2 separate regions of the Mus musculus genome follow, and region 2 is reported to be linked to region 1. Evidence: microRNA targets listed by miRTarBase, many of them from high-throughput screens and not tested one by one. Region 1 holds a microRNA gene; the other region holds the end of a gene's coding sequence.

Region 1 (4,263 bases):
TGCATCTTCATTCTTTAGGTTGGGTGCATTGTAAACCGTGTATTAGTTTCACTCTGGTCCACCATATCATTTATGCTTTGCTGCTTAGAGGGTTAGAAACAGGAGGGTAGTTGATGGAGGAAGGAAAAAAAATCATTTCTTACTGAGGTCCATCAGTAACTTGGACCATCTTCCCTTGGACCCTTTAAGCCTCAAATTCTACTCCTTCATGTCCACATGAGTTTTGACCGTACTGCCAAAGTAATTTCTGAAAACCTGTCATCCCAAGCCAGGGGATCTCTGGCTAGACTTCAAAGTGATGGTGAGATCAATAATGATTAATAAGCATTAAATCACCAGCATAGTCATTCCTGGAACATGTTGAGCACCGTTTACTTGCTTTAAGTGGTCAAACCAAAGGCACGTCTGGGCAAGAAGTCTGGCTGAGTCAAGCTTGTGTCAGGTACAGACCAGAGTAGCCGCTTCACTTCCATCAGTGGGCCTGGCATCAGTGGGGCAGGGAGAGATCAGCAGGTGGAGTCTGTCTTCAAAGCTGAGACATCTACAGGAAGTAGTGGGTTTTTCAGGGTGGAACTTGGTTAGAGAAGAAGAGTCCTCCAGCCAATCAGTAATGGAGTAGGGTGAAGTTTTCTGCTGCAGATGGAATTATTTGCTTGATGGGGAAAGACGAGCAATTGGACTCTCAGTCCGGGATCAAAGTCAATTCTCATCTCTTCCTACCAAGGATATCTTCAAAAGTATGTGACAGGTGTAGTCACCATGTGCAGCCCTGTGCTCAGCAGGGCTGAGTGCTTGGCATAAGAACCTAAGATTTGTGGCTTTGGCGTTCTTAAATTATCTTTGGAGTTGTATTCTTGTAAGTCTGTAGGGCAGTGGAGCATGCGAGTGGGAGAGACAGGTGAGATGTATTTCCGGTCTGTTGTCTGTTGTCAGGGCCCCACACGGAATGCTGTGTAAGCTCAGTCATACTCAAGGCAGGTGAACTCTAAGTCTAGGATTGATGAAACGGGGATCTTACAGTCCTGAGAGGTCGTGCTTTACACGGGAAAGGTGCTTTGAATGCAGGAGACAAGCCACAGAGCTCTATGCATCCCCAATGCCATGAGGAACCCTAGCACAGCACTTCTCATATATGACCCTTGTCCTAGTCAGGGGTACTATTGCCGTGATGAAAAACATCATGAGTAGAGGAGGAAAGGCTTCCACATCACTGGAAGAAGTCAGGACAGAAACTCATACAGGGCGGGAACCTGGAGGCAGAAGCTGATGCAGAGGTCACGGTGTGTGTGTGTGTGTGTTAGGGTGGTGGCTTGCTCATCATGGCTTGCTCAGCCTGCTTTCTTATAGAACACCGGACCACCAGCCCAGGGGTGGCACCACCCACAATGGTCTGGGCTTTCTCCCATCAATTCACTAATTAAGGAAATGCTGTATAGACTTGCCTACAGCTAGATCTTATGGAAGCATTTTCTCAGTTGAGGTTCCCTCCTCTCAGATGACTATAGCTTGTGTCAGATTGACCTAAAGCTAGGCAGCACAGACCTTCTCTGTATTTGCCGCCATCTTGTGGGGTACTGAAAACCATGCTTAGGAGAGGTGACAATGATGCCAACCATACCACTTTTCTTCTCAGACTTCCCCTACGCAACAGCAAGTCAGAGAGTACAAGTGCCTGACACCCTTACCACGAAGTGACATAAAAACAGGAATGTTCATTTTACTTGGTGTATCGTTGTCCTGGTAGGAGTGAAACACCTATGCTTGCATGGCCTACAAACCACAAGTTGTGTAATTTCTGGGATTGTGCAAACAAGCTCGATGTTCTTTTATCTGTCTTTAAAGCTAGCATCGCACAATGTAAAGATGAGTAGCAAAATTCACACTAATAATGAAAATAAAATAATGTTTATTTAGCACGACATTGAGTGGCAAGCAGTCAGCTCCACAGGGAGTCTAGAGAGAGTCTAGAGAGAGACTGTAGAAGAGAGAACCTTTCATTTCAGCATCTTTAATGGTACTTTCTTCATGATTTTTAAACAAGGGATTTTACATTTTCATTTTGTATTGGGCCCCCCAAATTATATAGCTGCCTCTGCTCGTCTCCCCTATTTCCGAGGAGAGGAGAAACACCAGGGTTATCCAAGGCACTGGAGGAAGAAAGATGGAACTTCATTCTTTTCATTGAGTGGATCTTTGTTTGAGGTCACTCTCTCCAGCGAGCGTTGAGCGAAGAGGCAGCTGACACTCCTGAATGGATATGAGGAAACCCAGGGCAAGTTCAGGTTCACCACATACACTCAGGGATGTCAGGCCCACCTCCAAACCACGTGTAGCATTCCAGAATCTCCGGACTTGGCAGAAGAGGAAGGGGGTAGCTTCCTTCTATGTTGCTTATGACCTCCTATGCGGTGAGAGCTCAGGACACACACGTTTGTTCATTTGGTCTTGATACACACACACATGCACATATACTTTTTGCACATGTCATCATATGATATATGCCTGGGCACGGGGTGGGGGGATGGCTAGTGGACATGGAACTCCTTTAGTGACAAAGAAGTGACAGAGCATATCCATTGCGATGCCTATTGTCCTTCTGGAATTCGGTCCTCAGGAGACCACAAGTAAGGGTAGCGGTTCAGGGAATGATGAAGGCCACACAGCTGAATTCCAAGGCTGGATTACTTTCTCTCTGAACCATTCTATCTCCTCTATGTCTAAGGGAAACATCTGTTAACCTAAGAGGGCAATTTCCTCTGACAAGTGCACCTCAAGTCACCTTAATGCCTCCTAGGCTGTGAAGACTATTGCTGTTCTTCCAGTGGCCAAGACATGATGGGGCAGTTCCCTAAGCAGTATCCTTGGTGATGCTGGGCTGCCTATCAATCAGACATACTGGCCTGGTTTTATTCCACACTGACAAGGGAGTGTGAGGGATGGACTCTTCCTCCCTCTACTCTCTCTACTCAGGCAGCACTGCACATGAATACAGCCTGTACCCAGCTCGCTCGCTCACTTCCTTCCTTCCTCCCTCCCTTCCTTCCTATGTCCTTTCTTTCTTTCTTTCTTTCTTTCTTTCTTTCTTTCTTTCTTTCTTTCTTTCTTTCTTTCTTCCTTTCTTCTCTCTCTCTCTCCCTCTGTTGTCTGTCTGCCCATCTGTCTGCCTTTCCCCCCCTTTTTCTAATGTAGGTACTCATTCTGCAGTCCAGGCTGGCCTCAAACTATCTATGTAGACCAGGCTGGCCTCAAACCTGTGGCCATTCTCCTGCCTCTGCCTTCTGAGGATCGGTTTACATCCACACCTTACCATGCCAAACGCTCACCTAGTCTATGTCCCTCTCCCTGCCTTCTGGCTTTTTCAGTTCCAGAGGGTGAGGCAATGGCTTGCTGGTTCTAACTCCCAATTTCCCTCCCTAAATCCCCCATCTTGTTGATATTTCCTTATCAGTTCCTTGGGCAGTGCAGCCACTTCCCTCCCCATTTTTGGAGGGGAAAAAAATCTCACAGACCATCACCTTCATTTGACCTGCCATCCAGCTGGTTCTCTCTCCCACTAACCCAGTCCAAACCTATCTTCTCCTTATTTCAAGTGCAGTTTAACCAGACATCCAAATGGCAAGCTCAGGCCAGGTCAGGTGGTGGTGGGTGGTGAGTTAATCCCACACTCAAGAGGCATAGGCAAACAGGCAGATCTCTGAGTTTGAGGCCAGCTTTGTCTACAGAATGCCAAGGCTCCCAGAGTTACCTAGAGAAACTGTCAAAAAAAAGGGGGGGAATAGTAAGCCCCTATCTATATTTAAAGATAGCTGGGCATCCCCCCCCCCCCCAACCAGGCCCCTACACATTTGTGTTACATCTCCCAGAAGTGGCTGTTATTCAGAGAACAGGCGATCCAGGATTCCTAGAAGATCGTATGCAGGGGACAGAAAACACAGCTCTTGAGCTGACAGTGCTGCCTGCTTCCCTAGATTTTAAAAAAAAAAAAAAAAAAAAAAAAAAAAAAAAAAAAAAAAAAAAAGGCTGCTTTCAGACACACGGAATCCCCATTGATGAGGTGTGGCCAAAAGCAGGCACTAGATTTTCCTCTGGGTACATACCCAGCTCGGGATGAAAGATGAGGGTCGTGACCCTTGTTCTGCCTTTTCAACACTCAGAAGGATTTGAACTGTGTTCCCCAAGGTCAAATGACTGACGTTAAAGCCCCCTACTCCACCCCTCCACTTTTCTAAGCTCCTTCCTAACAATGAATGCCCCCCTCTACAA
Region 2 (4,263 bases), not on the chromosome of region 1:
AGTCGGGAAGACAGGGCTGTGCTCACAAGAACTATCTGTAAATAAGCTGTTTGGGGGCGGGGGAGGGGTTAGGGATAGAACTGGGGTTGCAGGTGTGTGTTGGGGTGGCTCAAAACAGTGACTTAAAAATCCACCTCCTGCACAATTCAGCCCACAACAAGCCACCCAGTGAAAAAGAAGTTTGTCTCTTTAAGTGCCCATGGTATTAAGTGCTAGAGACTGAAGTCATAAAGGGAAATTAACTGAAAGCCAGAGATGCCATTACTCATTCGGGAGTAATCTATCTCTCCCAAAGTGAGGAGACAATTTGCACCCCCTGGAGATGTTTTATGCTTAAATCTTTATTCCCAGGCTAGGGCTTCTGTTCTCTTCCATCCTAAGTGGTACTGCCATTTCCTGCTAATGGCTCCTGGGAAGGGGCTGAAGTTAGAGGAGACACCTGCAGTCTCAGAGGCCTCACACCCTCCAGCCAACTCTCAAGGGGCTGGCAGGCCTTTAGAAGTGCAGTGTCAGGGGCTGGTGAGAAGGCTCAGTAGGTAAAGGCCTTCTCAAGCCTGACAACTTGAGTTTGACCCCAGGGATCCACATGGTAGGAGAGCTAACTCTAAGTTCTCTCTGACCGCCGCACGTGTATGTATCCCGTTCACCCCCACACACAGCTTGGTGACCCAAGCCTAACCTGGAGAGCCCACGTAAAGGTAGAATCAACTTCACCAAGCTGCCCTCTGATCGTCACACGTGCCACACATACATACCATGTTTATAAACACACACAATGACGCGAGTCGAAGGGACTGGGCTGAGGCATGTGGACCTGGTAGGAAAAGGGTTAGAGGGCTGGAGATGCCTCTGTACTTGGGCGCACTTGCTGGGTTCAGATCCTAGCATACACATCAGGTGTTTCAAAACTGCTTGCAACTACAGCTTCCCAGGATCCAACGTCCTCTACTGGCCTTTGTGGGTACTGAATGCACAGAGTGCACACACACACACTCACACAAAGAATCACACACACACATACACACTCACACAAAGAATCACACACACACATACACACTCACACAAAGAATCACACACACACATACACACTCACACAAAGAATCACACACACACATACACACTCACACAAAGATCACCCACACACATACACACTCACACAAAAAATCACACACACACATACACACTCACACAAAGAATCACACACACACACGCACACACAGATTAAAAATTATATTTAAAAAGGGGTCTTAAGCTACTTGTGATTTATGAAGACAAGGCTGAATGCCTTTTGGGGACACATTTCTCCTGGAGGTCACCATAGCCATATACACAATTAGTGCTCGGGGCACCAATATGACGTCTGAGTTATGTTTCTGCTTGATGGTTCTTTTCTTCCTCGGTGTTAGTTCTGAGGCAGGATTTCTTGTCATGCTGTGTGGGTGCTTCAGGATAGCTGGCCTAAGAGCGTTTTGGACAATCCCCTTTTTGTCTCCAGTTCTCATCTTGCACCTCTACATCTGGATTTTTCTTCAGTTTCTAGGGACCAAACTCAGGCTGGCCTCCAACTAACTATGTAGCAGAGCATGACCTTGAACTTGACTCTCCTGACCCCTGGCTCCAAGTGTTGGGATTACAGGCATGTGCCATGGCTGACCTGATCTACCAGCACACAATCCTTTGTATGGTAAAGGCTCAAAGTGATGAGTTCCACGCTGTTTAACCCCATCTTTCCCAGATGTATTTGACAATGGGATCTTTAAACTCTGCATATGCGGAACACACCTCAATCTACAGGAGCAAGCAAGTACCAGAAGGCAAATTCGTTTATGCTCTCTGGGATGTGGCTTCTTCCATTTGCTGTGTCCCCCCCCCGTCTCAGTCACACTGAGCTACACGGCCACGCCCTCAGGATCGCGTCTGTTTTTAGACAGTCTTCCTTGCATCCTCTGCCCCATCCAAGCATAACCACAGCATCTCTGATGCTCCCCGTTCTCTCGCAGGCACAATAAATCGCTTCCTCCTGTGTTTCCAGTGTGCTTTAGTCAAACTTCATTCACTGTATTACACGTAATTGCTCTGAGAGCCTTCCCATACCGCTGGCTTCCTCATTAATAAGTTAAATAAATCTCTGGCATGTGCTCACTTTAAAAAAAAAAAAAGCAGTTTATTTCCGACAATGTTCTCTACTGGTCTGTGCACTTCTCATGGTGGCAAGGACAGGATGCTTTCTTTCTCTGTCCTCAGCAGTGACGACTTTGCCTGTCACATAACAGGTGTTTGTTGATTGACTATGCTCTTAACCCCGGGTAGCACCTTCTCTGTAACTTAGGATAAATATGATTTAAGATCATAAGCTCAAAGTCTAAAGCCAAATATGCTCAGATAGGAAGACTTCTGCTTTGAGACAGAAGTTTCTAGTAGCAGACCCATGAGAGCTTTCTCAACATCTGTTAGAGCAGGAAAGTTAGACAAGAAAGCAGGATCATAAAAAGCCCTGGAAAATGCCACGGCTAGAGCCCATCGGACACCGTCCCCGTGCACTGCTCAGGAAGCAGCGTCCTGGCCAAGGGCACTGACTGGGGCTGCCACACTCCTGTCTACTCCAGGACCGGTTTGTTAGAGATGTGTCCAGACACACGAGCAGCAGGTTCTTGTGGACCTTTGGGATGCTCTGCTTCCAGTTACAGAGAAGTATTTGCTCCTGACAATTATAAAACGCCATTTTATTTTTTTCTTTTATTTGGGTTTTTTGAGACAGGGTTTCTCTGTGTAGTCCTGGCTGTCCTGGAACTCACTCTGTAGACCAGTCTGGCCTCAACTCAGAAATCCGCCTGCCTCTGCCTCCCAAGTGCTGGGATTAAAGGTGTGCTCCACCACTGCTCAGCTACAGAACACCATTTTCACAGGAGTGAAGAAACCTACCAACAGAGCTCCACGAAAAGGCGCACCACTGCCGTGCAAATGGACTGTATCTCCCGGATGTGTGCTTGCTGACTTACAGCAGTCACGCCTCAGAGATAAGACAGCAATAAATCCAAGTCACAAGGTTTTTGTAAAAAGGTTATCTGTTTGGATTTTTAATACAAATACAAAATGACTCAAACACCGAAAGAAATATCATACAAGCCAGTTATTCAATTTAAAAATAAAACAGAAAACAAATCCAACTAACAAATTTTAATTGACATTCCCTGTCTCCAGCCTAGATTAAAAAAAAACAGGAAATATCAATCCAATGTTTGTCCTTCTGAAGGAATCTTATTTTTCAAAGAGAAGAAAGCAATCCCTGAAATCTGGCAGGCGGTACCAGAGGCCACAGTTGTTCTGGTGAGTGTGGTACAAGTGGTTGCTGGAATACGGCCATCACCTCCAGCTGCTTGCTAATGATGGTCATCTGAGGCAGGTCAGCCCAGACACCATCGGACTCTGGCCAATTCCGCAGTCTGAGCCTCAGGGCTGGGAGCCGGGAGCCTTCCATTCCCCATCTTCACTGGATCTCACCCATGTACAGCCTCTTGTCACTGGATGCTGAGAGGACTGAGAGAGAAAGATCGAGAGGAGACAATGAAGGCTGGGGGAATCCTCGGGGCTCTAGGGCCCTGTGTCAAGAGACTATGGTGGGGCTGGCGAGATGGCCTTTGGAAGACCTCTGGAAGAGCTGCCAGGGCTTTTAATCACTGAACCGTATCTCCAACCTCCAGGCTCATTCTTTTTTTTTTTTTTTTCTTCAGACGCACCAGAAAAGATCTCATTACAGATGGTTGTGCCACCATGTGGTTGCTGGGAATTGAACTTAAGACCCCTGGGAGAGCAGTCAGTGCTCTTAACCGCTGAGCCATCTCTCCAGCCCCCAGGCTCATTCTTAATAAACTGACTCTCCCTGAGGTCCCCTCCTGTGGTTTAAGTGTTGGGTTCACATCTGAAGAGCCTAGGATTTGGGAGGCTGAGGTAGGAGGATTACTCAAGTGAGGCCAGCATGGACAGATAGTGAGCATCAGCTAAGACTACATAGTGAGACCCCAGCTGCAGAAAAAGACTTTCAGTTTGGCTTAGCAATGGTGGTGCACATCTTTAATCTCAGCACTTGGGAAGCAGAGGCAGGAAGAAAGCCAGGGCTACACCCTGGAAACTGTGTCTGGAAAAATTAAAAAGACTTCTAGTTCTATCTGAGTACTCATGTAAAAAGCAACTGTTAAGTTATTGTAGTACTGGTGTCTCCTTTATGCTGACAATTGCCTTCTTTTTGGTCACCTGTCCCAGCCC

What was found. The annotated mature microRNA mmu-miR-670-5p reads AUCCCUGAGUGUAUGUGGUGAA and lies in region 1 at 2,284-2,305, opposite strand. An mRNA with a match to its seed (bases 2 to 7 or 8) in the 3' UTR can be bound and repressed. Matches are read on the target gene's strand: a 7mer-m8 pairs with bases 2 to 8, a 7mer-A1 pairs with bases 2 to 7 and ends in A, and an 8mer does both.
Region 2: the mRNA of Snrnp40 is a reported target of mmu-miR-670-5p. Seed matches in the 3' UTR shown: 7mer-m8 at 3,284-3,290 and 7mer-A1 at 3,188-3,194.

Annotation. Positions count from the first base shown.
Region 1 is chr2:94,259,075-94,263,337 of GRCm38, forward strand. Mir670 (microRNA 670) reads right to left here and starts at 2,325; the gene lies at 2,226-2,325. The region is part of intron 1 of Mir670hg (a long non-coding RNA gene); the gene reads right to left.
Region 2 is chr4:130,388,818-130,393,080 of GRCm38, reverse strand. It overlaps Snrnp40 (small nuclear ribonucleoprotein 40 (U5)), which reads right to left. Exons shown (of 10, transcript NM_025645.2): 10 at 3,048-3,537. The coding sequence ends at 3,488. Among named protein-coding and RNA genes, the nearest start is that of Snrnp40, 31 kb to the right of the region's middle.